7 linked regions of the Xenopus tropicalis genome follow. The protein of the gene in region 6 interacts with the protein of the main gene of each other region in a biochemical or structural test. Links are inferred from orthologs where the notes say so. Each region holds a gene or a part of one and is shown on either strand. Other genes may lie near its edges.

What was found.
Region 1: the proteins of erbb3 (region 6) and sh2b3 form a complex in vitro, tested with the Homo sapiens proteins (2 studies listed by BioGRID and IntAct, with this or other methods). The link is inferred for Xenopus tropicalis from reciprocal best matches to the Homo sapiens genes ERBB3 and SH2B3.
Region 2: the proteins of erbb3 (region 6) and shc3 form a complex in vitro, tested with the Homo sapiens proteins (2 studies listed by BioGRID and IntAct, with this or other methods). The link is inferred for Xenopus tropicalis from reciprocal best matches to the Homo sapiens genes ERBB3 and SHC3.
Region 3: the proteins of erbb3 (region 6) and grb7 form a complex in vitro, tested with the Homo sapiens proteins (2 studies listed by BioGRID and IntAct, with this or other methods). The link is inferred for Xenopus tropicalis from reciprocal best matches to the Homo sapiens genes ERBB3 and GRB7.
Region 4: the proteins of erbb3 (region 6) and tns2 form a complex in vitro, tested with the Homo sapiens proteins (2 studies listed by BioGRID and IntAct, with this or other methods). The link is inferred for Xenopus tropicalis from reciprocal best matches to the Homo sapiens genes ERBB3 and TNS2.
Region 5: the proteins of erbb3 (region 6) and abl2 form a complex in vitro, tested with the Homo sapiens proteins (2 studies listed by BioGRID and IntAct, with this or other methods). The link is inferred for Xenopus tropicalis from reciprocal best matches to the Homo sapiens genes ERBB3 and ABL2.
Region 7: the proteins of erbb3 (region 6) and nrg1 form a complex in vitro, tested with the Homo sapiens proteins (8 studies listed by BioGRID and IntAct, with this or other methods). The link is inferred for Xenopus tropicalis from reciprocal best matches to the Homo sapiens genes ERBB3 and NRG1.

What each region holds. Positions count from the first base shown.
Region 1 is NC_030677.2:163,168,649-163,172,700, forward strand, and holds part of sh2b3 (SH2B adapter protein 3), read right to left. Parts: intron 2,842-4,052; coding exon 2,627-2,841; intron 1,734-2,626; coding exon 1,562-1,733; intron 1-1,561. UniProt on the Homo sapiens protein: Links T-cell receptor activation signal to phospholipase C-gamma-1, GRB2 and phosphatidylinositol 3-kinase.
Region 2 is NC_030677.2:137,828,384-137,833,162, reverse strand, and holds the start of shc3 (SHC-transforming protein 3), read left to right. Parts: upstream 1-1,700; 5' UTR 1,701-1,840; intron 1,841-2,248; 5' UTR 2,249-2,276; intron 2,277-2,877; exon of another isoform or gene 2,878-3,139; 5' UTR 3,140-3,233; coding exon 3,234-3,767; intron 3,768-4,779. UniProt on the Homo sapiens protein: Signaling adapter that couples activated growth factor receptors to signaling pathway in neurons. Involved in the signal transduction pathways of neurotrophin-activated Trk receptors in cortical neurons.
Region 3 is NC_030686.2:9,726,507-9,730,558, reverse strand, and holds part of grb7 (growth factor receptor-bound protein 7), read left to right. Parts: intron 1-772; coding exon 773-956; intron 957-3,198; coding exon 3,199-3,331; intron 3,332-4,052. UniProt on the Homo sapiens protein: Adapter protein that interacts with the cytoplasmic domain of numerous receptor kinases and modulates down-stream signaling. Promotes activation of down-stream protein kinases, including STAT3, AKT1, MAPK1 and/or MAPK3. Promotes activation of HRAS.
Region 4 is NC_030678.2:147,566,665-147,570,716, forward strand, and holds part of tns2 (tensin-2), read right to left. Parts: coding exon 3,231-4,052; intron 1-3,230. UniProt on the Homo sapiens protein: Tyrosine-protein phosphatase which regulates cell motility, proliferation and muscle-response to insulin. Phosphatase activity is mediated by binding to phosphatidylinositol-3,4,5-triphosphate (PtdIns(3,4,5)P3) via the SH2 domain.
Region 5 is NC_030680.2:99,866,728-99,870,779, forward strand, and holds part of abl2 (tyrosine-protein kinase ABL2), read right to left. Parts: intron 2,863-4,052; coding exon 2,778-2,862; intron 2,433-2,777; coding exon 2,255-2,432; intron 945-2,254; coding exon 760-944; intron 123-759; coding exon 1-122. UniProt on the Homo sapiens protein: Non-receptor tyrosine-protein kinase that plays an ABL1-overlapping role in key processes linked to cell growth and survival such as cytoskeleton remodeling in response to extracellular stimuli, cell motility and adhesion and receptor endocytosis.
Region 6 is NC_030678.2:137,680,143-137,684,194, forward strand, and holds part of erbb3 (receptor tyrosine-protein kinase erbB-3), read right to left. Parts: intron 3,449-4,052; coding exon 3,373-3,448; intron 3,248-3,372; coding exon 3,101-3,247; intron 2,757-3,100; coding exon 2,659-2,756; intron 2,253-2,658; coding exon 2,076-2,252; intron 1,900-2,075; coding exon 1,828-1,899; intron 840-1,827; coding exon 572-839; intron 1-571. UniProt on the Homo sapiens protein: Tyrosine-protein kinase that plays an essential role as cell surface receptor for neuregulins.
Region 7 is NC_030677.2:96,901,461-96,905,721, forward strand, and holds the start of nrg1 (pro-neuregulin-1, membrane-bound isoform), read right to left. Parts: upstream 2,801-4,261; 5' UTR 1,839-2,800; coding exon 1,235-1,838; intron 1-1,234. UniProt on the Homo sapiens protein: Direct ligand for ERBB3 and ERBB4 tyrosine kinase receptors. Concomitantly recruits ERBB1 and ERBB2 coreceptors, resulting in ligand-stimulated tyrosine phosphorylation and activation of the ERBB receptors.

The sequences.
Region 1 (4,052 bases), on a different chromosome or scaffold from region 6:
TATTACTTATTGAGATGCAGTATATATTTTGGTTTGTCTCAATATCAACATAACCTAGAATACTAATGCTACTACTGTAAATTTACCTCTACTGAGACAAGGAAAATGACAGAAGGCCCTACATGGTTACTGACGCAGTGTACATCGTGGCCTACACAAACAGTGCATGGGACAAATCCCCATACATCACCGTGTGTCTAAAGGGCAGCATCATTTGACAGAAGTTACAAAAAATAGGTGTACACTGTGTGTGGCTTCCTTGGAAAGCTAATAACTCTATGGTCATTACTATAAATTCCCTGATAAAAACACACAACGGGAATAATGTTTTTTTTTTTTCTTTTGCAATAACTGTACAGTTCCCTTCTTTGTTTATTAAACAGAAAAAGGACATCCCAAGGTTTGGCCAACTGCTTTTAATACAGGTATGGGATCCGTTATGTGGAAACCAGTTATTTAGAAATTACGGCAAGGTAATCTTCCATAGAGTTCATTTTAATCAAATAATTCTAATTTTTAAAAGTTATTTTCTTTTTTGCCATAATATGAAAACAGTTGTACTTGTACTTGATCCTACCTAAGATATAATAAATTCCTATTGGAGGCAAAATAATCCTATTGGGTTTAGTTAATGTTTAAATTATTTTTAATAGACCTGTAAGTATGGAGATCCCTTATCCGGAAAACCCCAGGTACTGAGGATTCTGAATTAACAGGTCCCATTCTTGTACTAGATAAACAAAGGACATAAAGTTCCATGCCCCGTAACTCCCCCTGCCCTGAGAAACTAAATATCACACACAACCAACCTCCCAGCCCAGCTTTGTTTACAGCACCATTATGAGGTTAGACTTTCAATGTTGGGGTTGTTTTCTCTGGAAAAAAGGCACTTGTGAGGGGACATAAATACTCTGTACAAGTACATTAGAGGGGATTATAGACAGATAGGGTTTTTTTTCCCATAAAAACAATCAGTGCACCAGAGGCCACTCCTTTAGATCAGAGGAACAGAAATTTCATTTTTCTTTTCACAGAGAGGGCAGTGAGGTTGTGGAATGCCCTTCCAAGTGATGTTGTGATGGCAGATTCTGTTAATGCCTTTAGGGTAATGTCCCATAAAGAGATTCGTTGCCCCTGATAGATCACTGCTGCTGTGGGCGACTATCTCGAAATGCTTTTCCACTGGCAACAACAGGAATCACCAGTGGAAAGGCCAATGCATCATTTTTTTGAAGACGCGCAATGCATAGGCCTTTTCACCGAAGATTCCCTTTGTTGCCAGTTGAAAAGCTTTTTGGAGAGACCAGTTGCCCACAGTAGCAGAGATCAATAGTGGACAGCTATTCTCTTCATGGGACATTACCCTTAAGGGAAGCTTGGATAACTTCTTGAACAAACATAATATCCAAGGCTGTTGTGATACTAAAATCTATATGGTATATATAGTTTACTGTATGTATCTCTTGCATAGCTAGCTAGGAACCCACATGGCCATAAAACAAAAGTTGTAGTTGTGCAACGGGGTAAACATGGGCAGAACTAAATAATGCTAAATGCTTACCATGTGGCTGGACACCTGCTACCACGTAACCAGACAACTTCACGTCACACGCTGCTCCACACTCCAGTGGAATTGGCTGTAATCGGAAGTACTGAAGCATTTCCAACACAGACCGGAAACGGAGATGCTGTACATGGCACTGACCTCTCTCTGTAAGGGTTAGGCGCAAGTGCTGTAAAGAAACGAATTGTGCATTGTTACAAGATCAGGTACATGTTCCTAGTTGTTGCTTCAAACTTAGGTACAGGTTTAGCAAAATGTGAGATTAAAGCTCACCACAAAAATATGCACTCACTTTTTCATTTCTATAAAATTTTTAGAAGAGTATCAGGCTAATGCCACGCCATGTGTATGGCATATATTTTTGGCAAGCCGAAAAACTCTTGCCGAAAATACGCACCATGCACTCCTACCTGTGCCCGAAATGAAAGGAATAGGCTCAGGTACAGGCACATGCCCTTAATTGCACATGTGTATTAAGTCAGTTTTGCAGAAATAGCAAGTAGTACTTAAAAATACTTTTTTGCTCCAACTTTACAATTGAAGAATTGTAACTTTACACAGAAAACTAAGAATAAAGACACCAACAATAGTTAGACAGAAAGCCCACACTGGTTGTAGGTAACCCCAACTGTCCCTTTGCTGCTTCCTTCTAGACACTTTCTGTGCGTGGGTGGTGCTTTGGCAGCAATATCCTCATCCTGAGGCCTCACAGTTCCTGCTAGCACTTCCTCATTTAAGCAGTTTCATTTAGGAACAGAAAGGAGGCTAACAGCATTATAAATCTGTAAATCTTACCCGTATCTATTCCAATTGGCTTTTGTTAAGTGACCGGTATCCGTGCCAGTCCAGTTGGAGGAGACAGAAGCTTACAAAATTTTTGCATTCACTTAAGCCAAAAAAACCAACATGACCCTGTGCACAGCTTCTCACAGTGAAAGCTTATATGCAATGCTACATAGCATTAGTTTTCTCATGTCACTCTATGCCAGATGAGCAGATTTTAATATTTTATGAATTTCAAACTATTTTTTCCACTATTATATTGTAGAGTAAGATCCTTACCTTTGCCCTTCCTTGAAAATTAAATGTAAGAACATATTCCCCTCTTCTTGTTTCACTCTGTCTCACAAGGAAGACACCGTGCCCTTCAACTCCCTGGGACTGGACAAGCTGAGCAGCTTTGACCCGTGAGATGGGCCCATGGAACCAGGGTGAGGAAGCCAGAAAATGATCAGTTTTGTGGCAGCATTGCTCAGGTGGCACAAAGACAGAAGCTCCTGGGGAGAAATAAGAACAAAAAAAAAAAATCACTCTTTGTGATATAATGGTAGTTGATTGTGAGCACAGTGAGTTAGATAAACATTGAAGTCAATACATAACATAAATCTGGATATCTTCAACCTTTCACGAGCTGATCTCTCCTACAATATAATGCTGAAAACTCAAATGCTGTATTTGCAAGTTAAATTACTGTCTCCCATGCCATCCCTCCAGTTATGTAATTCCCCTTGGCACACATGTCAGGTCAATTCTGCCACCAAAAAAGCGCCCCCTCCTCTGCCTGCCCATTTTCTAAAAATGGGCTCCTAAATACCTTAACAATGTACTGTTCAGTCTTTGCAGTAAAAGACTACAGCATGGCTTCTCTAGCCAAAATGTATGGTTACAAGTTTATTATCTGGGTTTTAATCCAAGACCTACTTTAAAGCATACTTTCATTCCTTTCTTTACTCAGTAGAAATAAATTGGCCCAGTTGGTTAAAGTGCTGGGTATTGGAAGCTTGGTTTGATTCCAATGTTAAATTTGTGAGACTTCTGGCAAACAAGTCTCTGGAGTCAGATTTAGACCCAGGACACTGACTATGAAGGTAGGGCACTCATATGCCATACAGCGATATGTTTGGACAAACAATTTTGAGAGAATCTCTCTCTTCCTCAAGTCAGTGCTGTAATGACATAGTGATGGAGATATAGATTAGTAACAAGCAGAACAAAGAGGAAGTGAGGCAAAACCACTGTAACATTGAATCAGAATAGAAGTGAATAGGGGTTATGAAGGTGAGAATGAAAATCAGCATTCCTGGTAGAGTTTTCCTTTTCCCCATCTAGTTTCTGATCCATAAATATTACTCAACACAGAACCAAAATATAAATATCACACTGGCTGCAACAGCATTAAATTTGCCAAGGTAAACATTCAAAGTTCTCTGTTAGGATAACATATCCTTATGAGATTTCTTTTCCAGTACGTGCATGGAGTATTTGCAGTTGGAAGAAGAAGAGTGTACACAGTTGGAGGGGTAATTCGGATTTTGGTTTGTCACATTAAACACTGTGCAACAGGGAAGGCTGGATTTCAGGGCTGGAATGCGCAGGATATGTACTGCTATAATGAGTTTCCGAGCAGATCTTGGGTGAGGCCATTTACACATGGCTATAACTATGTCTTTTCTGAATGATAGGGGATACTGATCAAAGAACATATCAG
Region 2 (4,779 bases), on a different chromosome or scaffold from region 6:
CAACTTTGCTGAACTATTGCTGGCTTGAGACATAAGTGTTTATTTTGCAATTAAGAGGACCCTGAGTAGAGAGTATGGTGGGCTATAGGAAATATATCCAAACTATGGAGCAAATACCCAATGCAGTATTAGAAGAGAGTTCTGAGGCCTTTTCTGTTGGAAAGGGAAACCACAAATGAACATATACAAATATCTGCCCATGCTTGGTTTAGTGTATTGATCATTAATTAACATAAAAAGCTTTGTACAACATTAGTTGGTAGCAGGCTCCTTACCACTGTCTTTTATTACTTATTTTTATACGTCTTAGTATAATTTTTAGTATAGTTCTTGATCTACAACTGTATATTAAACATTGCTTTTGAGCAAACAGTGATCTGCCTCTATTGTGCAGAAAGCAATAGTTTAGGTATTATTGGGATGAAACATAAAATAATGTAACTGTAAATGGCCTCAACAGGCATTGGCACAGCAGACAAATACCCTTTAGTCTGGTCATAACATGTAGAGATACAGCTACTGTATATATACCTCTAACTCTCATTATCAAGCCCTTATGTTATATAGTATAAATAAAAAAAGTATAAGGTTTTAGTGAGAGGCAGGGATTTTCATTGCTTCCCTTTCTGTGGAAGTAATGTAGCAATAGCAGGGGATAACATAAAGCAACAAGAGCAAGGAGAAGTAGCAGAAAGAAAGTTTATTTTTCAAGGAATACTGATGGATAACCATTAGTTCAGATCATGTTATTTTGATCATGAATAAAAATTGTGGTGTCTTGTGAAGTGCTCCATAAGCAGAGCAAGCAGCTCAGAGGAAGAATCTTGTACTGAAGTGATGCTAATGCTGATGATTCCTGACATTTATTATCTATATGTTGTGCAGTTAGCTCTGGCCAAGTGAAAAAAATTACTCTCTGAACATTGCAATACTTCCTGCTTCTCAGAGCTAAAAAGGCCCATAGGTTTTGCATAAAAGCATGTCTTAGCTGTAAAATCTTTGTGCAACACAGAGAAGAAAAACTGCAACTGAACTGTAAAAATGAACTATAAAAACATCTAAGCAAATTAGTGTCAGGAATCCAATGCTTTTATTAGTTAAGGGGGGTGTTTGTATAAATGGTGCCCACCCCCAATATTAATTAAAATCAATTACTGCATGAGTTCAGTTTTGTAATATTGATTCCTGTTCAGAGTGAATTATATTTTATATGCTAAAATGCTATTCATGCAAGCCTTGATATAATTTAAAATAGCAGTGTTAGCAAAGGGTTAAGTTCGCTTACATTCAGTGCAGACTGGCAAAGAAAAGGAAATCGTGTTGTAAATCAAAACCCAGTCTGTCAATTTAACTTGTGCTTGAATAGGCATGTTAAAATAAGCACATTCGTGAATGAAGCTGCCTTTATTAAATTCATGTTCAAGAAATCTGTCTTTTTTAACACTAATTACACCCTGTGTTTTTTGAACGGTGTACTTTATGTTTGTGCAAAGAACCCGTATCTGCTTGTCTCGGTGCTGTTAAATGGGATTAAATATTGTCGTGGGAAGGATGCAGCCTGTGATCAAAATGGTCTCTTCCACTATTTAGCCAACCTTTGTTGAATGAGTCATCCAAACAGTCTCTCATTGGATGGAATGGTTAGCACCCAAGGGATTGCCAGGCAGGCGCTGCATGGCCCTGCTTCATTCACAGAATTACTGGTATGCTAGCCAGCCCTTTCATTCACATAAATAGAGTTCCATTCACATTTTGCAATTTTTATTTGTATCTAATGAAGAGAGACATTTGGGAACAATAGGGCTTTCTTTGTTAGATAAGACCTGAAACAATCTGTGATGTGAGTATTTGCTGTTGCTATGCTAACAGACAGAAGGGTAAGATGAATGCTGTGTGGATACTGCAGCGAGTTGCTGTGTGCTAATGAAAGGCTATTCTGCACATCACTAGAAACTCGCTCTTATATTAAATAGGACATTTCCATTATTCATCACTCCTGGGAGCTTAGGTGCTGACTTGTTTCATACATCATAAATAAGACTGACAAAATACATGAATTTTAAAGTTTATTTAGTGCATCTTGTTCTTCATGTGCTGCTTTATTATTACTGAAAGAATGGGAAACCTAGTAAGGGATTGTTGAATTGTACTGCTTCCTTTCTAAACAAGTTATCCCTTGTTTGTCACTTTTTAACATTGTATTTATTAATTCTGTGTTGTGGAACATACTGTGCTCCAAATGATCTAGTGGATGAATGGTGGTGGACACTATACTGGTAAGATTTTAATATGCATTGGCAGTTTCAAATGTTTGGGTATTTTGAGAATGCTAAATGATTTTCCTGAAAAAAGTGCAGCCTTTTTTTTTTAATATATTGGAAATAACTATTTACATCCAGACTTGCATTCAAATGCCTACTCCTACGCCCATTATGTACCGTAACCTAATATTTATTACCAATAGAGCACTGGATTTTATTTGTTTTTCTCTATTGATCTTATCATGGAATTTCTAAAACAAATTGTTGTGCTTTTGTCATCCTAATGTGAATACTATTTTTAGCAATTCTGTGCAGTTAGTGCCATTTTCACCTTTTTATATTTCATTAACATAAAATGTATGTGGAACTGTAAGTGTATTTAATACTTAATTAATACTTATTGGGTTTTATGTAGACAATCAGCTACTGTGCTTTACAGGTAGACCAACATAGTTGATAGAGGTGTGCTAAGGTTTGGGAAAGAAGGGACAGATTAAAAAGACTAGAAAAAAATGATGTGTTTATGAAGTTGGGGAGAAGAAATTTGAGAATTGATTGGTTCTAGTGTGCTGTAAGTGGGTGGATTTTTTTGTGCTACAGGAAGTGATTTGCAGCGTTCACAGAGCCTTTTGTTGAAAAGGGTCTCCTCATTTGTGTGAGTCATGCTTTTGCTGTGAGCGAGTTGGCAGCTCTAACCAGAATTGGAATGTCATAGAGAACTGTCTGCTTCTGCATCCATTCTACGTACATCTACAAGAACAGACAGATTCAATTTTATTTTGTTTGGTTTTTTTTATCTGGACAGTTTAGCACAGGTTTTCAAGTGTTTTTTTTCTTCTAAATTGTTATAGTATTGGCTTTCTTAATCTCTCTTACAGGTATAGTTATGAATGCCGGGATATGTTAGCAACTGTCATTTTTAGATTGGCAACAGATTTGCCAAAGCATATGAATAAAACGAGATAGAAGGGCATGCTTCAACGTACCAAGTATAACCGCTTCAAGAATGAATCTGTGACACCAGTGGACGACCTATTGCACAACCTGTCCATGAACAGTAAAGTCACCACTGTAGCCGGAAATCCAGCTTCACCACCCTGCTCAGCACCACCTGACGTGCTGCAAAAGGACCAAGAAAATGGACCCACCACTCTTTGTACGTTCATCCACAAAGTGTCCAACTTAAAACTCTCCAGTTCAGGCAGCCTGTTGGGTATTAAGAACCTTTCCTCTGCAGTAAAGGAGCTTACAGGTTCCAAGTTACAGGGGAGCTCTCCAGCACTAAGCATAGCAGCAGGAGCCACGGAGAACACATGTAACCTTGTCTCTACCCCGTGTTCTCAGCAGGACTTGAACAAGATGAGCACAGGGAAAAAAACACCAGAAGAAATGCATCAGGGAGGTGAGGATTGGAATCAAAGTAGCAGCTTCGTCAATAAACCTTCTCGGGGATGGTTGCACTCGAATGAGAAGATCCTGGGACCTGGAGTGACGTACATTGTGAAGGTTGGTCTGCTTCTTCCTTGTTCTTCTTTTTTATCAATGAACAGTTTGCTCTCGATAACAGCAGAATCATTCAGTATATAACGGCTCTGTCAGTGGCTGTATATTCCGATCTACAGCAGAATGATTAAACATGCAGTTCACATGTAAATGCTTTACTGTTGTGCTTACCAGGAGTAGGAGCATTCTGTTTTAGCTGGTAGCTTATTTCCTTGCAGTGTGAAAAGAAGTGTACGTTCCAAATATCAAGGGCTTCTGTTCTGCTGGATATATTTAACCATATGATATGAGACAAGCCTTAATGAATGCAGCGCTGCTTTCCAGTTAGACATTACTATGTTAATAAGAGCATTGGTTAAACAGTTACAGAACAATCATGGGATTTTTGTGGTTGCATAGAAATACTGCCTTGTAAACAATAATGTTACAATGATATTTTTTTATCCTGCTGTACAGGAGCTTTTTTTTTGAAGCACAGTAAAAAGATGTATGTTTACCATATAGTGCAGTTAAAATCGCGGAAGACTTTCTTTGAAGGCTAGGTTAATATTTGCAATCGTATATTATACCCACTCTTATGCTTCCTACGTGATGATTTTCCTGCTTGTTCCCACACATTCTCTATTCTTAGAAAGAAAAAGTCAGGAATATTGATATAAACCTACATAGTGCTACTTCTTCCAAGACTGGTTTTATCCTTAATGGTTGCATTTATAATAATTTCTAATCAGAATAATGTATTTTATTGGATTTTTAATAAGAAAAATGTTAAAGCATTATGCTGGCAAAGAGCAGAGGCTCTTTACCAGAGTTTTGTGCCTCTCAGTAGAAGAGGATAAGCTTACTTGTGTATCATTCCAAATAACAAAATAGGCATTAGCCACTGGTTTGGTGTGCACTTCTTGGTTATAGAGACCTATAATATGCAGCCTAGTACTGTCCTAAACTGTTTTGTCTAGGTGCTAATTCTCCATTGTGAATAATCATTTTTACATTCTGGGGATCCAGAGAAATA
Region 3 (4,052 bases), on a different chromosome or scaffold from region 6:
CACTATAGATACTCATAATAGTGCCCTCACTATAGATACCAGTAATAGTGCCCTCACTATAGATACCAGTAATAGTGCCCTCACTATAGATACCAGTAATAGTGCCCTCACTATAGATACCAGTAATAGTGCCCTCACTATAGATACCAGTAATACTGCCCTCACTATAGATACCAGTAATAGTGCCCTCACTATAGATACCAGTAATAGTGCCCTCACTATAGATACCAGTAATAGTGCCCTCACTATAATATTTTTGGCTGTAGTTTTGGCATATTTGGTAGTTGTTATTTTGGCTGCTAAAGGACAGTGACTGCCCATTTGAAAACAGGAAAGAGGAAGACCATTTGAAAAGTTGCTAAGAACAGTCTATGCTGTAATATTAAAAGTTAACCTGAAGGTGAACCACCCCTTTAAAAGCAAACATCTTATTGGTTGCTATGGATTACTGCTACTGGGGCAAACCTAGTGGGGCTCAATTATAAACACTGGGCACATTTGCACATGGGCTATAACCCATAGCAACCAGAGATTAGTTTCTTTTCAACTGCAAGTTGAACTATGAAAACTATGATTGGTTTCCATGGGTTACTGCCCAGGTGCAAATTTGTCCACTGTTTATAAATGACCCCCAGAGTGCCTTTTATTACATGCAGGGCTTATTTTTTATGATTTGGGGATCTAAGGTTTGCAAATAAACACAAATGATTTCACTGTGTGTGATTTGCTATGGTTTATATGTGTGATGGCCATTTCCCTATTTCTCCCTTAGGGGATGACATGGATTTGGAGGCCTTAGAGAGCAATCACAGTCCTGCCCCAGACAATCTGTATGAGAGAGAAGGCTGTACGAGCCGATGCCCCACTGCACAACAAGGACACCCGGAGAAAGCCGAACTGCTCTCCCCTGATTTGAAGAGGTCGCAGCCATTGCTCATTCAGAGCCGTAAGTGGGGGTAAGTGGCAGTCTGCCGGCGGCTAGAGATTTCATATTAAATCAGGCATTTAGCTAACTGGGACTGGCAATCTGTGGGTTCTGGCAAATGCCAGGGGGGCTGTAAGATGCCACAGACAGTCACTATTTATTGGGCTGGGGGGCTGTTTGGGCCTCTGGGTACTGGGAATGCCAGGGGGGCTGTAAGGTGCCACAGACAGTCACTATTTATTGGGCTGGGGGGCTGTTTGGGCCTCTGAGTACTGGGAATGCCAGGGGGGCTGTAAGGTGCCACAGACAGTCACTATTTATTGGGCTGGGGGGGCTGTTTGTGCCTCTGGGTACTGGGAATGCCAGGGGGCTGTAAGGTGCCACAGACAGTCACTATTTATTGGGCTGGGGGGCTGTTTGTGCCTCTGGGTACTGGGAATGCCAGGGGGGCTGTAAGGTGCCACAGACAGTCACTATTTATTGGGCTGGGGGGGCTGTTTGTGCCTCTGGGTACTGGGAATGCCAGAGGGGCTGCTGTAAGGTGCCACAGACAGTCACTATTTATTGGGCTGGGGGGGGGGGGCTGTTTGTGCCTCTGGGTACTGGGAATGCCAGGGGGGCTGTAAGGTGCCACAGACAGTCACTATTTATTGGGCTGGGGGGCTGTTTGTGCCTCTGGGTACTGGGAATGCCAGAGGGGCTGCTGTAAGGTGCCACAGACAGTCACTATTTATTGGGCTGGGGGGGCTGTTTGTGCCTCTGGGTACTGGGAATGCCAGAGGGGCTGCTGTAAGGTGCCACAGACAGTCACTATTTATTGGGCTGGGGGGGGGGGGCTGTTTGTGCCTCTGGGTACTGGGAATGCCAGGGGGGCTGTAAGGTGCCACAGACAGTCACTATTTATTGGGCTGGGGGGCTGTTTGTGCCTCTGGGTACTGGGAATGCCAGGGGGGCTGTAAGGTGCCACAGACAGTCACTATTTATTGGGCTGGGGGGGGGGGGCTGTTTGTGCCTCTGGGTACTGGGAATGCCAGGGGGGCTGTAAGGTGCCACAGACAGTCACTATTTATTGGGCTGGGGGGGGGCTGTTTGTGCCTCTGGGTACTGGGAATGCCAGGGGGGCTGTAAGGTGCCACAGACAGTCACTATTTATTGGGCTGGGGGGGCTGTTTGTGCCTCTGGGTACTGGGAATGCCGGGGGGGCTGTAAGGTGCCACAGACAGTCACTATTTATTGGGCTGGGGGGGCTGTTTGTGCCTCTGGGTACTGGGAATGCCAGGGCCTATTTTATATCCCAGACCAGGCCTGGTCCCCAATAAACTTCAGCTTCTGCAGACACTAGGTTATCGGAAGGGCTGCCCGGGTAAAAACCTCCTGCCCAATTTCCCTAATTAGGAAAACCGGGCTGGACTCAGTAACATTGATGTGGCGATTGGCCAATTGCCGATCGCTGTGTCATGGACCCACCCCCGTGATGTCATGGCCCACCACATCCCCGCCCCCCATGACATCACCCCCGCCCCCTGCCTGGCTTTCTTACTCGGTAAAAGTGGCAACCCTAATAACTACAGAGATTCCCTTTGCCTTTATCACAGTCCTCCTATGGTTCTGGACCTTCGAATGTTTTGGATCAGCAGTACTTGTACTACTCTCCATGAATGTGCGCTTTGCCTTTGCAAAGAATTATGATGGAAATTGCAGTCATTGCTTATTGGCCAACAAGACCCCATCACCCTGTTATAATCTATTCGTTCTGCAGTCTGACCCATGGCCTGCCTTATAGGGGTTGTTCATTTTTTGTAGAGAGTAATATTCTAAGACAATTTGCAATTGGTCTTCATTCAGTATGATGTAGAAAGTGCTCTTCTGAGACTATTTGCAACTGTTCTTCAATTTTTATCATTTGCAGTTTATTTTTTAATTATTTTGCTTTTCGTTTGGCAGCTCTCCAGTTTGGAATTTCAGGAGCTATCTGGTTGCTAGGGTCCAATTTAACATAGCAACCAGGCAGTGATTTAAAAGACCGACAGGAATATAAATAGAGGAGGGTCTTAATAGAAAGATAAATAATAAAAAGTAACAATAACACTGGAGCATCACAGAGCAATAGATTTTGGCTGCCGGGGTCAGTGACCCCCATTTGAAAGCTGGAAAGAGTCAGAAGGGAAAGGCAAATAATTATAAAATATAACAAATAAAAAATGAAGACCAAACAAATTAAATGTTGCTCCCCATAACCAAGAGGTGTAACCGTATGTATTTATGTGTTGCAGGAGATTACGAGATGAGGAATCACGATCAGCATCACTCCCTGACATCCCAAACCCGTTCCCAGAGCTCTGCAATTCTTCCCCCATCCTAAATAACACCCCAAGTGGTCGCTCCCCAAAGGAAGGGGGTCCTCATGTAAGTCCTTCAGCTTAAAAATAAATTATAATTAAATCCATGTTTTATTAGAGGGAAGTGTTATGTATTCCCTATTTGTGATTTCATTTAGTCTGTTGATTCCACCTATACTTCTAGTAGTAAAAATCCCCATCTAGTGGTCAGATAGACAACACTACTCTCTATGCATCTCTGCAAGCAAACCGTTTGCCAGCTCCCATTCAAAAATCTACTACAGGTATGGGATCCTTTATCTGGAAAGCCGTGATTCAGAAAGATCCAAGTTATGGGAATCTGCCATCTTCCATAGACTCCATTGTAATTAATTAATTTCAAATTTTTAACCATATTTCTTTTTTCTTTGTAGTATTAAACAGTAACTTGTAATTGAACCCAATTACCTCTTATTGGGGGCAGAACAGCCCTATTGGGTTTATTTCATGGTTAAATGATTCCCTTTTCTCTGTAATAATAAAACAGTACCTGTACTTGATCCCAACTAAGATATAATTACCCCTTATTGGGGCAGAACAGCCCTATTGGGTTTATTTCATGGTTAAATGATTCCCTTTTCTCTGTAATAATAAAACCGTACCTGTACTTGATCCCAATTAAGATATAATTACCCCTTATTGGGGGCAGAACAGTCCTATTGGGTTTATTTCATGGTTAAATGATTCCCTTTTCTCTGTAATAATAAAACAGTACCTGTACTTGATCCCAATTAAGATATAATTACCCG
Region 4 (4,052 bases), about 9.9 Mb from region 6:
AAAAATATTTCTAATATAGTTAGTTAGACAAAAATGTATTCTATAAAGGCTGGAGTGAGCAGATGTCTAAAATAATAGCCAGAACACAACTTCTTTACAGCTCTCTAGGCTGTTAGCAGCCAGTAACCAATCAGTGACTTGAGGGGAGGCCATATGGGACATAACTGTTCAGTTATTTTGCATTTGAATCTGACCTGCGTGCTCACAAACTAATTGAACAGTTATGGCCCATGTGCCACTGACTAACTAACAGGTTAGAGAGCTGAAAGCAGGAAGTAGTGTTCTGGCTATTATGTTAGACATCTGCTAATTCCAGCCTTTATGGATTACATTTTTGCTATTAGAAATATACAGTCTCATTTTTACAGAGTTCCTTTTCCTTTAAGGGCCATTTATAAGGACGTTTACAGCTTATTCATAACTCTTGTCCATATTGTGGATTTGCCATTTGTCCTGAGCACAAATGATTAGGAATCCCCTGAATAGACGCACTATTAGAGATAAATGAGAAAGGATTAGGCCACAGTGCAGGTAGGAGCACTTGTGCAGGAGAGGCCACTCTGTAACAGAACTGAACTCAGAGGCTTCATTCCATGATATTAGGGATGAAGGTGATTTATTGTTCCCACAGAGAGAAACATCAGGCAAATACTCAGTTTCTTTTAACAATAATAATTATAATGATTACGAGAAACTTGAACAAAATGTTGTCTTTGTGCGTTTTGGTTTCTCTCGGAGCACAAAGAATAAATAAATAGCAGTATTGTGGGGTGGCAGGGAGACAGGATTCTCTGTTAGTTGGGAAACTGCTTTACCACAGAGCCGATTAGCAGTCTCAGGTCACGCCTATTCCATGTGCATCCTGATTGTGGCTCCAACACTCACCAACACAGGCCAGAAGTAAAGGGCAACTAACTATAATTTCAGGAGAATTTTTAGACAGTAGCAGTACCTGAGGCTGAAGCCATGTGTACCAATGATTTGCAGCAGGGCGCTGGAACTTTCATTTGGTGCCACACGTATGACTTTCCCAGAAGCCACTCTCGGGTCACCTGGCACTGTCTAGCTTGCTAACAAAATAAAAAAATATTTGCAATATAGTTAGTTGGGCAAAAATGTAATCTATAAAGGGTGGGAGTGAGCAGATGTCTAACATAATAGCCAGAACTCTACTTCCTGCTTTCAGCTCCTAACCTCTTAGTTAGTCAGTGACTTTAGGGGGGGGCACATGGGCCATAACTGTTCAGTTAGTTTGTGAGCACGCAGGTCAGATTCAAATGCAAAATAACCAAACAGTTATGTCCCATATGGCCCCCCCATCAAGTCACTGATTGGCTACTGACTGCTAACAGATTAGAGAGCTGTAAAGGAGTAAGTAGAGTTCTGGCTATTATGTTATACATCTGCCCACTCAAGCCTCTATAGATTACATTTTTGCCTAATTATATTGAAAATATTTTTATTTTGTGCAGTCTGTCTATTTTAGCCAGTTTCATTTTTATACTAAACTGTTCCTTTAAAGGGCCAGGCAGCCTGGGGAAGGGAATGCGCTGAGAGTACATACAAATGACCCTTACTTAGGCTGTGGTTAAAAATTTGCACCATACTGATAAAGTATCATATCTATTTGAAAATACCTTTAGTTTTCCTGGTAGGGCTTTTGGGCGGCTGGCCCTGGCCCTGGATCCATAGAGTAGCCACCTGGTCGGCACTTTACCAGCCTTGTCAATAAATATAACTTTTGATGCCAATACATTGTTAGGAAAGAATGATAACAGCCAAGAAAGGCCAGTGTTTTTTCCAGAAAATTCCAGAAATGAGGGGCCATCTACTTCCCATAGGCACAGTGCAATGTGCACTTCCAGACGCATTAACCATTTCCTTTAACCCATAATGCTAAATTTTCCAATGATTCGAGAGTAACTGTGGTTGCCATGGAAAGACGCACCTGACGGACTTGCTGCGAATGATTTAAGACGCGCTTGCGCTTTGACAGGAACTGGATGCAATTGCTCTGGAATTTTCTGGCAGATCTCATATTGCCTTCAGAGTGACGCGTGCAACACTTTCTTTAGGCACAACTGTGATGCGCAAACTGACACAGGCCATTGTGGGAACTGTAGGGATACCCTCTGGTTCAGAGACAGAAGTAGCGCCAACATTCCCACATTGGTCTGCGGCAATAGGCGCAACAGGAGGAAAGTAGCAGCAACAAGTGCAACTATGAGGAAGTGCAAGGGGTGCATATTGACGCTATTTGAAGTAGCTTTTATCATTGGGATTTTCCAGGCAACTAAATAAAGACAGAATAAAGACAGAATATCCCATCAGTGCCACTCATGCCGTAAAGTGAAATTAAAATGTGCATCAGGTTGCAGTGTGCAGCACTTTAGCCTCGTAACTCTGTTTCAGCTCTTCTAGTACAGAGAGCACAAGTGCACTGGCAGAAAAGGTATGCACGGGGTAGTGTCGTTGAGTTGCCAGCCTCAGGGGACATTTTCAAAATGCATTTTGACCTTTCCCATAGATCTCAAGTGATTTCTATTTAGTAATACTTAACATGCAGAATCATGAGGAGAAAGGAGATGGAGCAAATGGTTTCTCATTATTACTGGCCATACTAAATCAGCACTACTCCACTCCTTGTTTACCAGTCCCCATAATGAAAGCCAGACCCTCTGACAGTGGAAATAAATGATCCATATATAACCATTGTTTCCAGTTACATCAGGGCTTACTTGTGCAGCTGCTAGATTCTGAGGGTGGGGGGCTACACATTATTACATCATGGGCTTTACCACATAACATTCCTCTTATGTAGTAGTAACGCCCCTCTGTTATACACTGATATTGATAAGATGAGCATAGTATGTAAAGCATTTTACATATGCATTGGTTTACTTTACCCGGAATAAGAGACAACTGATTAAAGCTGTTCTGGCGCCCTGATTCTTGGGCAGGGGTGTTCAACCTGCCACCCTCCAGCTGTAACTGGACTGCATCTCCTAGTTCCTATAGACAGCTGAAGGCTAGAGTGCCACCCATTTCACCCAAAAGTAACAACGGTAGGAGTTTATGGATATATTTACAATTGGAGTCCTGCTTTGACATGTTTAAGCCAAAGGTGCAATTACCATACCACTAAGGTGTCGGTAATGCCAAAGTGACTAATAACTTGTCCAAAAGCACAATATCATTGAATTGTCTGTATCATTGGCTGTAATACTCACCTTCCGGTTGCTGTTGTTCCACAGATGTGAGTTCACTGACACTGCTTGCAGAGATTGTGTCACCGCTCATTCTTCTGGGAGCAGAGAGATTGGCAGGAGATATAGAGCCAGAAGGAGGAGACTGACCTCTTGGTGGGCTATATGGGGATATGGAATTAGGAAATGAGTGGGGACCATAGCCATTAGGTGGGCAATGAGGAGGGAGGTAAGACGGATTTAGAAAATGTGGATATGTATGTCCATAGCCACCTTCTGTGAAATGGTTAAAATGCAGTGGTTCTTCTCCATGTGAAGGTGGATAGCCATACAGCATCTTTGTTTGAGGGACTTGGAAAGGATGTGGGAAATCATGGTTGATTTGAACACTCTGTCCAAAAGGCTGAGGAATATGCAATGGCAGCTCCCCACGGTGAAATGGCTGCATGTTAGTTACAGGGTAGCAGGCCGAGTTCTGACAATGAGAGCAGGGGCATACTGGTGTAAAAAGAGGTTCATGTGGAGGAGGCTGGCAAATGTATGGCCGTGTATCCCTCAAACTGCCTCTCTTTGGTGGACTATGTGCATGAGCTGGGTAATGCTGTGGTCCCTCAGATAAAGAGCGAAACAATCTCCTTCTTTCTTGTTCTCCATACATTCCTGGATAATGAGCAGTTTGCAGAATAACCCCAGCCCCTGTCCCCCCTCGAGAGTCAATAATGCCTTCTGGCCTGAAGTAAGATCTGTTTGGCGGTCCCTCAATATTTGGACCCGAGTACCCCAGCCTACAGGAGCAGTGTCTTGAGATTAAAGGCCTTCTGCCTGGGTACATAGCCAGTTCCCCAT
Region 5 (4,052 bases), on a different chromosome or scaffold from region 6:
ACACCCTTCTGGCTGTTCCATGCGATATCCCTTCTCTAACAAGTCATACACTTGAGAAAGGTCTATACCAGGATAGGGTGACATTCCATAGGTTGCAATTTCCCATAGAAGTACCCCAAACGCTGCAGTAAACAAATGAAAGCTTCTTAAGGACAGGTTTCAGCAGATTTTAGAATAAAGCTTGGCATATTTTCAACAACAAATTTAATTTACAAATATACAGATTATTAGCAATTTAAAGAATTCCAGTAATGTTGGAGAGAGATTTAAGGTTGATTTCATGTCACAAATACCTGATGTCAGTAGAAAGGACTGAGAGGTTATGTTAATGCTTTAAAAGGTACTTCAGTCTTCCACTATGAGCTTGATAATATTTTTAAGGCATGCAGAGATAGAGCAAACACTGATAGAGAAAACACTCTAAAAACAAAAGGATATTGGTATGTGGGAACTAACTGTGACTCGATCAGATTTAATGTACCTCTAATCTGAATTAGGGAATTGTTTATATTCTATACCAAATCACTCGCATCCAAAACGATTTGACGTTGTGATGTGGTTGATACTGAATATGTCACATTATTTTAAATACACCTTAGTGAAAGTTCTAGGAATGTCATTAAGGACGTTTCTCTGTTATTTAGAATTAGAGTGGATTTTAAACCAAACCCCCCTGCACCTCTTTAAATGGTATAAAAGTACATTGCAGTATCAGAAAGTAGACAAAGTAAATAAAGTACATAACAAACTCTCTCTTACCCCAAACATCTGATTTTATGGAGAATGTATTATATGCCAAACTTTCTGGAGCAGTCCATTTAATTGGGAATTTAGCACCAGCATGTGCTGTATACGTATCACCAGTCATAAGGCGGCTCAGTCCAAAGTCCGCTACTTTCACCACATGATTTTCCCCCACAAGACAATTTCGTGCAGCCAAATCCCTACAGAAAAATCAAGGGTATTTAGTATAGACATTAAAAAAGGACACAACCTTACATCCTCATTAATGAGTTCAAGGGATTATTAACTTTAAAGGGGTTAAACATGTGTAGATGAATACAACAGGATACAGAATTGACAATCACTTCTAATCTCCAATTATGAACAGCACTCCAAATGAATCGTATCGTATAAGCATTTCACTTTATATCATACTGTGTATGAGACAAATAAATTTGAATTTAATCTTCTTAAAACCGCCTTTATTCACAAAATTGGCACAGACCAGGATAGTAAGGTTCAGGTCTTCATTGACCCTTTATCAAGCTAAGGCTTCAAGCCAAAGCTTGATAACGGGTCAATGTAGACCTCGAACGTTGCTATCCTGGTCTTTGCCAATTAAGTGAATAAAGGCGGTTTTAAGAAGATTAACTTCATCATTGAAGAATTCTTGGTCTAGTAAGGTGAACACGGAGAAATTGTGGAATCCGGTTTGGTGCTGGCTTGCAGTCTGTTCATCACTTTTTATCTACCATAGCCTTGAGGCCTTAGAGATACACACTGTGTATGCATTAGTAATGAGTGGAAGCTAGAGTAGTACAGGTGCTTACCTTTCAGCCAAATTGTTTTTACTACAGTACAGTGAAACCTCAATTTAACATAGCCTTATGTTAAGTTTTACACTGTTTTTGTCCATTTCCCAGATTTTGAATTTTCCCAGATTATAAACCATTTTATTCTGGTCCGCCGAAAAATGTAAAATGGGGGTTCTACCGTAGTACGTGCCTCAACAAGTATTTTTTGCAATTTGGATTAATTAAAAAAATGCTTCATATAACTAAATCCCAAAAAACAATTACTACACTAACTCAGAGCATCTGCAGAGTAATGTCAGAAAGTGATCCGTAAGACTGGCAATGACCTACTTTCCAACAGAACTTGTAAAAAAAAAAAACAGCTAAATTTTTCAGATTTTTGGGGCTTTAGCATTTCTTTGTGATCTCACAGCTCATAGTCAATGATGCATGAAAAGTGTACAATGGGAGAGAAAAGTTGCCACTGTATATTATACTTTTGTATTCTAATAAACACTTTTAGTAAGTTATCTAAACATTTTATTGTTTTGTATTAGGATTTTCAAAGTGAAACTCAGTGTCTGCGTATAGATACATCTTGCAACCCACTACTATGTATACAAAGTTGCCAACTGAAAGACACAAAGCTATAATTTAAGTTCCCAGACCTCACAATGTGTTACTGATGGATTTGCTGGACTATAAAATTACTCAAGGTACCTATATATGCAACTCACCGATGGATAAAATTCTTTCTTTCCAGATATTCCATTGCAGAGGAGATCTGAGTGGCCATGTAAAGTAGCACAACAGCAGTCACCTCTTCCCTATTACATTCACGTAAATAGTCTAGAAGGTTCCCATAGTGCATGTATTCAGTTACTATGTAAAATGGGGGCTCCAGTGTGCAAACACCTAAGAACATAGTTAAGATGACAGATAAATATATTGTAGGAAGAATAGGCTATTACAGGTTTTAATAAGCAGGTATCCCAAAGGTCATTCTTACTTTTACGTAGTATCTAAAAATATTCATTCCTTCATTTAATAGTGTATTACATTCTACCTGGACAGTGCACTGCATCACAGAATGAAGACACTTGTACATGCATCAAAAAAACACAGCCAAAGGGAACAAAGACAGACTGACTAATGGAAGAAACCGAGAGCCAAAAGACTAATGTAGATCCTGTACATATTACACACACATTCACTCATTCTTATGGGTAATGCTTTGAATACTTTCTTTAGGTTACATACCCAGAAGTTGCACTAGGTTGGGGTGTTTAATTTCCTTCATTACTGCTGCTTCCTTCAGAAACTCCTCCACTTCCATAGTGTCTTCCTGGATAGAGCAGAAAAAGAGATATTAAAACAAATTATCACATATATAAGCCAAGCAAACATGTAACATTTTTGTTTGTTTGGCCCCAGCACAAATGGCTTACTTGGAGCCTGGGAAGAAACCTACTTGTAAAGTAAGCAGAGCTGCAAAGCAAAAAATAATGGCACTGTCGCAGTTACACGAAAGCAAAAAGGATGGAAAAAATGAGAGGCCATCTTAAAATCTGCACACTAAAGTCTTTCACATCATAATGTGTTTGTCTAGTATAAAACACTGAATGCAGCTCTGCATAGCAGATGCAATGATGCTGGAACTATGTGAAAAGAATGCTGCCTTGTGACTTAATGGTTGAAATACTTGTTGCATTCAACTTTTTCATAAAGCGATTCTGGCATGATTTCTATGGTGTGCTTTTTTCTAAATTACACTGTGTACACTGCAAATAATTTATTCTACCATTTAAAATTTCTAGAACCAACAAATGTATTTTTTAGCTGTAATATTGGTGTGTAGGCAGCCATCTCAGTGCATTGCGCCTGATTCTGAGCTTTCGGAAGAAGTCAGCATTACACAATAGAACTGCTTTCAGATAAGCAGTTTTTTCCCACTCAATGTACTGTCAATAGAACCCAAGTCGCATAACAGCAAAACAGGTTTCTCCACCTGGGTTGATATTCTCATGTCTACCACTAGGTGGGCCACTATAATGAGCACATTTAGCAAGGCACAATTTCTTAAGTCATTTGATCTCTACATTGCTAATCTTCTCCAGCCTTCAGGAAATATGAAGGGGGTCTCGGGTGTCAATGTATTGCCTCTCGTATTTTAATTCCATTTAGTTCATTATACTGCCTCTTACTGTATTTAATGTATTTTGGGCTGAAGTTCCCACTGCTTCTCACTTAATGTATTTTGGGTGCCTCTACATCTATCCCTCACTGTAAAATATAATGAAGATCTGTAGTTATCGTTCATAAAAACAGTGTACCATTATTAAGTGCATACTGTGTATATATATCTATATCTCCTTTACTATACAAACTAATTAAAGGTAATGGGGCACATAGAGCTGTATTTTCACAGTGTATTTTACCTGGCAGAGAACCCACACATTATTGGGGTCATTATAGGCAGTTTTGCCTGCTTACCCACTCATAATTCAAAACAGTACCAGGAGTGCTATTAGCTCA
Region 6 (4,052 bases):
ATAAAGGCAGTCTGCTGTAACCTATTAGACACCTAAGAATTCTGTGCTAGTTTGTCTCTTACAGAGCTGTACTATCCAGGGAAGGGTACAAGCTGTAAAAATGGCCAGAACTCAGTCTTTCTATTAGCCATTTACTTTTTACTCTGTTTACATATTCCCAAGCTAATGTATATTACTTTACCTCATACATACTGTTGCTCCTTCATTATTTATATAATGAAAACAATTTACCAAAAGTACTTTTAGTATTATGTAAATAGTGATATTCTGAGGTAATTTACAGTTGGTTGGTTGCCCAGAGTCCATATACCCTAACGAGCAGGCAGTGGTTTAAATGAGAGTGTGAATGAGAGTAAATGAAATTAAAAATTGCAGCAGAACAAATGCATTTCATGTAATTGTAACATAATACTGGCTGATACAGTCTGTTTTCACATATGGATATTTTGGGTTTAAGATGACATTTGCCACTTTATGGCGTCAGGGATATCTTTCATTTCCATAAGGTTTTGGGCACATGCCATTTTTCTCAGCAAGAGTTCTGAGTAGAGGATTTCTGTGCTATACTCACCACTTTGACTGAGCCCTGGCATGATATACTCGCTGTCATCATCAGGGGTCCCAACAAGGAGGCTCTCCCTTTGGGATCGGTATGCACTGTCAAGGCGAGAGCGAGAAATGTGGCTCAGGCTCCCTCCGCCATAGGAATTATCCTCTATTGTCTCCAGGTCTGAAGAAGTACAACAGCCCTCTGATGACTCTGACACTGTTCGGCCAAGTGAGTCTTCTCTTCTGCGTGTCCCATGTCTTGGAATTGGTTCTGCAGAGGTCATTGTTCCCTGAAAACAGCCCACATGTTAGAAACCCCCCATCTACATCTTCCCAGATGTTCATTTTCACTCTTAACAGAAGGGTTAGTTAAGAGTAATGCAGGCAGAAAACCTTGCTGTCCCCTATATGTAATAAAAAGTACTAAGTTTTCCCAGCAGTGGTAACCCATAGCAACCAATAAGATGTTTGCTTTTAAATAGGTGACCAGTCAATGTTTCCTGCTGATTGGTTGCTATGGGTTACTGCTCCTGGGCAAACTTAGGGGCTGATTTACTAATCCACGAATCCGAATCCCAAATGGGAAAAAATCGTATTGGAAATTAACATTTTGCGACTTTTTCGTATTTTTTGCATTTTTTTTCGTAGCTGTTACGACTTGCACAAATTGTCGCTACTTTTTCGCAGCCGTTACGACTTGCGCAAATTGTCGCGACTTTTTCGTATTGAGTCGTAGTAAACGGCAGGCAAACCTTTCCGTTTTTTTCGCGACGGCTACGAAAAAGTCGCGACAATTCGCGCAAGTCGTAACGGCTACAAAAAAATTGCGATGGCGACGAAAAAATCGCAAAATACCTATCATTACAAAAAAAACGCATTCGGACGCTTTCGATCCATTCGTGGATTAGTAAATCAGCCCCTTAGTGTCTTTAATAACATAACCCCATATGAGTTTTGTTGTATTGCTATTTCCTAGAATGTATGTATTCTTTGTATTTTGGAGCATAAAAATGGGCTGTTAGCATATCTTGGTGTGTAATCTGTCAATCTGCTCAAGGGCTTTTGCTGTAGTGACAAATATATACAAAAATATAATAAATCCAAATATAGAAAATTAGGCACAAAATCTTTTCTATCTTTTTAGGCATAGCTGTCAGTACATTAATGTACACATTAAATAAACTTTATTGGGAAAGGAATAAAAATGATCTTAGTTAAGTTATTCTACATGCCGCCTTAAGTGGTCATTGCTATTCTTTTTTTTTACCCCAAATTTACCTTTCTTGAGGAGCTGCAAAGACTCTGGTTCATAGGCAGGTACCCAGCGATAGAGCTCAGTGCACTCTGACTCTGAAAGGAAAGCCAAGATTTAACTTACAGAAAAAACTTACCATTCCCCCATGTGCAACTTTATGACTGTGCTATTGCAACTGAAAGTGCTACGTATAAAAAAAGATATACATGCACTGCATGATGCCTGTATCCCTCCTTGCCCAAGCCTTTTTGATAGGCTCTGTTTTCCTTACCCTAGAGTAGTCAATTCTTTGTCGTGAGGCATATAGGGTAGTTGGAGTTTTAGGCTGCATTGCCATGTCTTCAGACTCAAGGTCAGTGTCCACGTCAGACTCCAGATCACTCACTTGTTTCTCAGACAGAGGTGGTGGATCCCCTGGGAGTGGGGACTGAAGTGCATCACTATTGCGCTGTTTGGAGAAGAAAAGAGATGTCATCAAGGTGCACAATCATCAAAATAACATTTTTTTTATATGTATTTTTTACATGTATTTGGTCTTTAAAAGTCATTTCTTTAACTTGCTTGGGTATCTGTCATGCTATATGGCTGAAATGTGGTTTTACTTTCATTACACCAGCGAATAAGTAAGAAAAAAAAGGAAAAGATCTGGAAGTCTCCAGGTTTCTATTATTTACACCAATAAAATTGTATAAGAAGCAGGTCATACTTAAATGGCAAAGATAAGAAAGTCAAAAATATGAAGAGCAAACTGTATCATAGCACTTGTGATTTGTATATGTAATCCAGCAATAATGGAATTTTGCACCCCTGAGGCAATAATAAATGATACCCAGTCAATAAGAGATTCATCTCACCGTAACAACCAGGTAGCGAGGTGGATCCCTAGCCATACGGGTGAATTCATTTCCGAGTTCTTTAAACGTAGGGCGAATATTTTCATCAATCATCCAGCCTAGAAAATAGAGAATGTAACAGAATCAAGTCAATCAGGCTCTTACAGTTTGCTGTTTAATAATAAAACAGTACTTTGTACTAAGCTGCATGAATCCACATTGATGGCAAAACAATACTGTTAGGTTTAAGGAATGTTTAAATCATTTTTAGCAGACTTAAGGTATGGTGATCAAAATTACGAAAAGATCCCTTATCCAGGATAACCCCAGGTCCCAATCATTCTGGATAATAGACCCTATACCTGGATATCTCCTACATGAAAGCCTCCGAGAGGTTCTAATGATCTCTATGTACTGCTAATGCCTAAGAGAGCCCAGATTAGCAACGAATACCTCTACTTACATTTCACCATTACCATGTAGACATCAATGGTGCATATTTGTGGTTGGGATAGTCGCTCCCCTTTCTCTAGGAGGTCAGGAACTTCTGACAAACGAATCCCTGTGTATGGTTCTGCACCGAATGTCATCATTTCCCATAGAGTAACACCTTTTTGAGGAACCAAAAATAAAGGCATTGCTGACTATTGTTAAGAGTAAAGGCAGGGCAGGTAATGATATATAGTTCATGACAGTGTGAAGCACAATAATGCCTTGGGTATCTGTTCCACGTACCATAGCTCCATACGTCACTCTGATGAGTGTACTTCCCAAAGTGTATACTTTCCAGAGCCATCCATTTCACGGGAGTCTGCATAGTACCAAAAAAGGTACATTAAAAAAAAAATAAAAACAAAAGTACAATTTTAATCAAATCTCAAAAATTTTTCTCAGTGAACTGGATAGTTTGATTTTTTTCAGAATTTGATTATAAATCAGTGTATGTAGAAGTAAAATAAACAGATACAGGGGTATGTACAGGCCCAGCCTGGGATTCAAAATAGGCCCTGGGATTATAATTACACAGAGACCTAAACAGCCCCCATGAGCCCAATAAATAGTGACTCTTACAGGAGAAGGCTCTGGCATTTGCCAGAATCCACAGATTACCAGTCCAGGCCTGTCCACAAAAAAAAATCCAAAAACCAAAGCAGGTAAATTCCCCTGACACATCCATGCTAGAAACTATAATGCCGGATGCACCTAGAACAATTGTGTTAATTTAAAGCTTGTTGCTAAAAAACAACTGCAAACAGCATTAATGGACACCCTGCTGCTTGGTGATTCACCGGCCCTTGCAGTTGCAAAGGAATATGAACAAGGATATGAGAGCAGAAACCAGCATTGGAATATGCTTAGCTAGTAATAAGGTAAGGTTAGATATTAAGCAAATATTGTACTTATAAACATAGATG
Region 7 (4,261 bases), on a different chromosome or scaffold from region 6:
CTTTGCATGGTTAATGCACATGGTATCTCACACCTTAAAAGTGACTCAACAGCACCATCTTAAAAAAGTCATGTGCCAACTAAATGACTGCAGAAGCAAAATATATTTAAGCAGAACAAGCAGAACGGGTAATTCAAACACCTGATGAATGTCAGTGGGAATTAATTAGGCAAAGTGGATTTATTTAAATGTATATGCATATTTGGTGCTGGCATAAATTAAAACACAACATTATTTAAACTGCTTCATTAATCACCCCTTATGCTGTGAAGGTGATACAGAATGAAAGATGCTATGGTTATTTTAAAGACCCATGTAGGCCATACTCTTTTGGCTTACCTGAGTCTGTAAAAAGAGACTCTTAAGGAGAAAAATATTCTTAAGAAGAAAAATATTCCACAGTTTTGCTTCTCAGTGATATAGACATATGCTGTGTTGCCTGCTCTTTAACCCACTGTAGAGCAGAAACAATAAAATACCGTCATTACTTTAAAATCTTCAGGAATATGTGAGGGTCTTTAATATACACATAAAAACAAAATTTCAGCACTTACTAAGCCAACAGTTTTGCATTTTTACTTTACAGAATTCATAGCTCTGTAATCGCTCTAAAGCTACTGTACAGTAATACACAGCAGGCATTGAGCTGAAGCTAAATGAAAGGACATTCAATTTCTTGTTTCAGGCATATTTTACTATTTAACTATTTACTATTATTACTATTTGTTACTGCTTAAACCAATGCATAAAAGGGCAACAGTCCTGTATTGAAAAACTAGTCAAAGGCAATATAATACAAAATTATTTTGTGGTCTTTTCTGCAATAGATTAATCATATTCAATAGCAATACATTAAGGCCAGTAATGTTACAAAATGTGCAGCAGATAAGGTGGTTACTTTTCAGGGTCAACACTGACTACATGTGGCATGTTCTTAATAAATGATGAAGCCCTTAGTGTCTTCATCGTAATTCTGTTTACACTTTCAGTCTTTATCGTAGTCATAAACTGGATGTAAAGTAGAGGTGAGACTGCAAATTAATAGCCTTACAGTACTATTAACTAGGTTGTGATCTATTAACTGGACAAAATTGTGGATGCATTACACACCCTTTCTTAAAGTGTAAGAGTGCTAAGTATAAATCAATCAATAAAAAAACAGCTAGATACATAGATATGTGCTCCACAATAAAGGCAAGAACAGAATATTAGGAGTAATACCAACTATACATACCCCTTTTAGTAGTAGCTAAACGACCTCTTTCTGTGGTTCCAATTAGATTTAGGGTAGAAGGCTCAACTGATTTTCCTACTGATGTAACTTTTGGTAAAATTTGATCAGGTGTAAATGGCTGTAAAGTGGGTTCTGTGGGTAAAAGAGAAGTTCCAAATTTTAATGTAACTGGTGCCTTAGCATCAGTTGTAGGAATAAGGACAGGTAAAGTACGAACAGAAGATGGCACCAAAGTGGAAGGAGCGGTGTCAGTATAAAGGATAAGATCTTGGCCTCTGCGCCCAGGGTCCAAATGGGTAGGAGAGTCATACTCAAATATTTTGTCTACAAACACCCACTTAAGGCCAGCGATGCAGAGACACAGGCTAATTAGACATGCCAAGATAGGAATAATACAGATCTTCTCAGAGTTAAGGCAGATTCTCAGCCTGTCTGCCTCAAGGCATACACAGCAGGTAATAGCAAGGCCTGTGATCCCATGGGTCGTTTCCTCCTCAGCTTGAGTCCCTGGCATGCTTTCTTCATTCTGAAGTTCAGCAGAGGGGGGGCCTGAGCTCTGCTCAGAGCACTGGTTCTGCAAACCCTCTGCAGTATCTTCAGACATCTTAAAGGCATAAATCTCAAGCAGCTTGCTTTATTGAACCTTGGATCTTTATGTGTTCCATAACCAGAAAAAGCAGGGCTACATGCTCTAAAAAAGACATCTGCATTTTATCCAGTAAATCAGAAAGTAGTCTCAGCAGGCTGTTGAAAAGAGCAACTAAATGGTATTCTTTACAAAAAGAGTATAGCAGTTATGGCTCTAATATCTGATTCTCTTCTTTGCCCTTTTGTTAATTAGGAGAGCATGCTTCACTCTCCCTTTCAGACATGTTTTCTATGAGGATGCAGGACACACATAGTCAGCAGTCATTTAGTTAGGTAAACCAATAACCAAGAGTAAATTGCTGTTCTCTCACCTGCAGCATCTGAAGATGGTATCTGTTTGGTAGAAAATAACTGTCATGAAGCAGCAACAACAAAAAGGGAAGTAACAACGGCAACAGCAGTACACGAGGCAGCAGTGGCAGCAGTAATACCATCCTGTTGTGTTAAGGCTGCGAGCGAAAGAGGCTGAATCATTACAGAGCAGCAGGTGCCTGCACAGTGAACATCACTGCACACAGTACTATGACAAGCTGGGACCAGAAAATAAGGATAACAGTTACTGTGTGGTCACTCCCTTTGTCTTCATTGCCTGTTTAGTCTTCTTCACTGCGCCTGTATCTTCTTTCCCATTTGCACAGAAGCCCTATGTCCTTGCATTCTCTGTCACGTACCATATCACTTAGTTTCTCCTTTCTCTTCTGACTGCTCTCCCCCACCCACTGCAGGGCTGGTCTGAATAAAATCCAGCAACAGAGTGCTACCAGTGACTTCCTACTTTATCCAATTAGAAGAAATGAAGATCATCAAATCAAAGAGAAGGCAGCAGGCAACCTTTATGATCTTTCATTCTCTTTTTTTGTCTTCTTTTTTAGCTTCCACAGTGTTCAGTTAGGGAAAGGCGCAGCAATCGATTACAGCAATGTAACTAGGCTAAGGATGAGGAGGTGAAGAAGGTAGCTTTATGGGCAGAACCTAAAGCTTAGTGAATCTGATATCTGATTCCTCCCAAGAGACAAACTGTTGTTTCTATCATCCTGCTGTTCTAGGGAGTTTATCCATCAGTAAAATAATACTGTTCACAATGTGGACAAGAACAATTAAAAAAAAAAAATACTCAATTGAGACAGAATTAGATCAAATCAGACTTAGCAAAAAGTGCTTAATTATTCCACTATATGGTTATACTGCGGACAAGGCAATGAATGGTCTAGGGCGGAGATGTACAACCTCCAATGTTTAATAAACTACATCTCCCAGCATTCACCTAACAGCCTTTAGGGATGATTTCCCATTTCCCATCAAGCTTTGCAGAAACAAGAAATTAATAAATAAATGATTGTATTTCGCACAATAAAAGCATTAAGGTCTTTGGCAAGATGGCAAGCATGTTTTAAAACATCCTCAGACAAAAGGAAGGTTTTGAGGATATAAAATGTCAAGATAGCACTGGATTCAGGGAGAGGTGTGTGCATTGGTGCAGTTTGGTTTCACTTGTAGAAGGAAGGTGTGGCAAGGATTCTGCACAGTCATGTTACATTTCCTCTGTACTGATATCTGCTGTGCGTCTTTTTTTTTACATATGGGATGCCGAGGCAATTGTTGCTATCACAAACTGCCTTAAGAAAGTAGCTGCTTATTTGATAATAAGGTGCTGCCTATTAACTGAGAGACAATCATATTTTAATTGCTGAGAAAAGAGGCACAGCCAACTATTTTGTAAATTTTACTAGGTTACTGACTCTATTGTTTTTAATTATCTTTAAATTAAGCATGTAAATAATTGTGCTGTAACATATCGCACTCAGTTTACACTACAGAGTATTTGTATGTAAATATTTAAACTGCTTTTATAAATATGTATGTATAGATCATTTTAATTTACAAAAAACTGTCATTGCAACATGCTAAAATATCTTATAATATGCATATTTATAATTTAGGGGGTTTATCGGCTAATCAACAGCAGCAGGAGATGGTTATATTATTTGTAAGTAAAGATGGGTTGTGAACTAGTCCTAATTGAATTTTCTGAGTGCTGTCAGAAAGAAGTATTTATGAGTGCTCCTGCGTATTGCAAAACACAATGAATGGGTAGCAGAGCTGTTCAAAACTCTGACTTGGAAAGCCTACTTTCATTCACTAGTCACCTCTTTGTGACCCCACAAAAGGCTATTTGCCTTTCATTTCATCAAGAGCCACTGCCAGAAAATACATTTTATGATGTCCAAAGTCCTGCATACATTGTAAATAGAAAAAGGGCAATATAATAACTGCAGAACAGCCACATTAGATGGCAACCTAGCCATTACATCTTGTTTTACACAATATGAACATAATAGTTAAAAATATTAGATCATCAAAACTTCCTAATTTAAATTG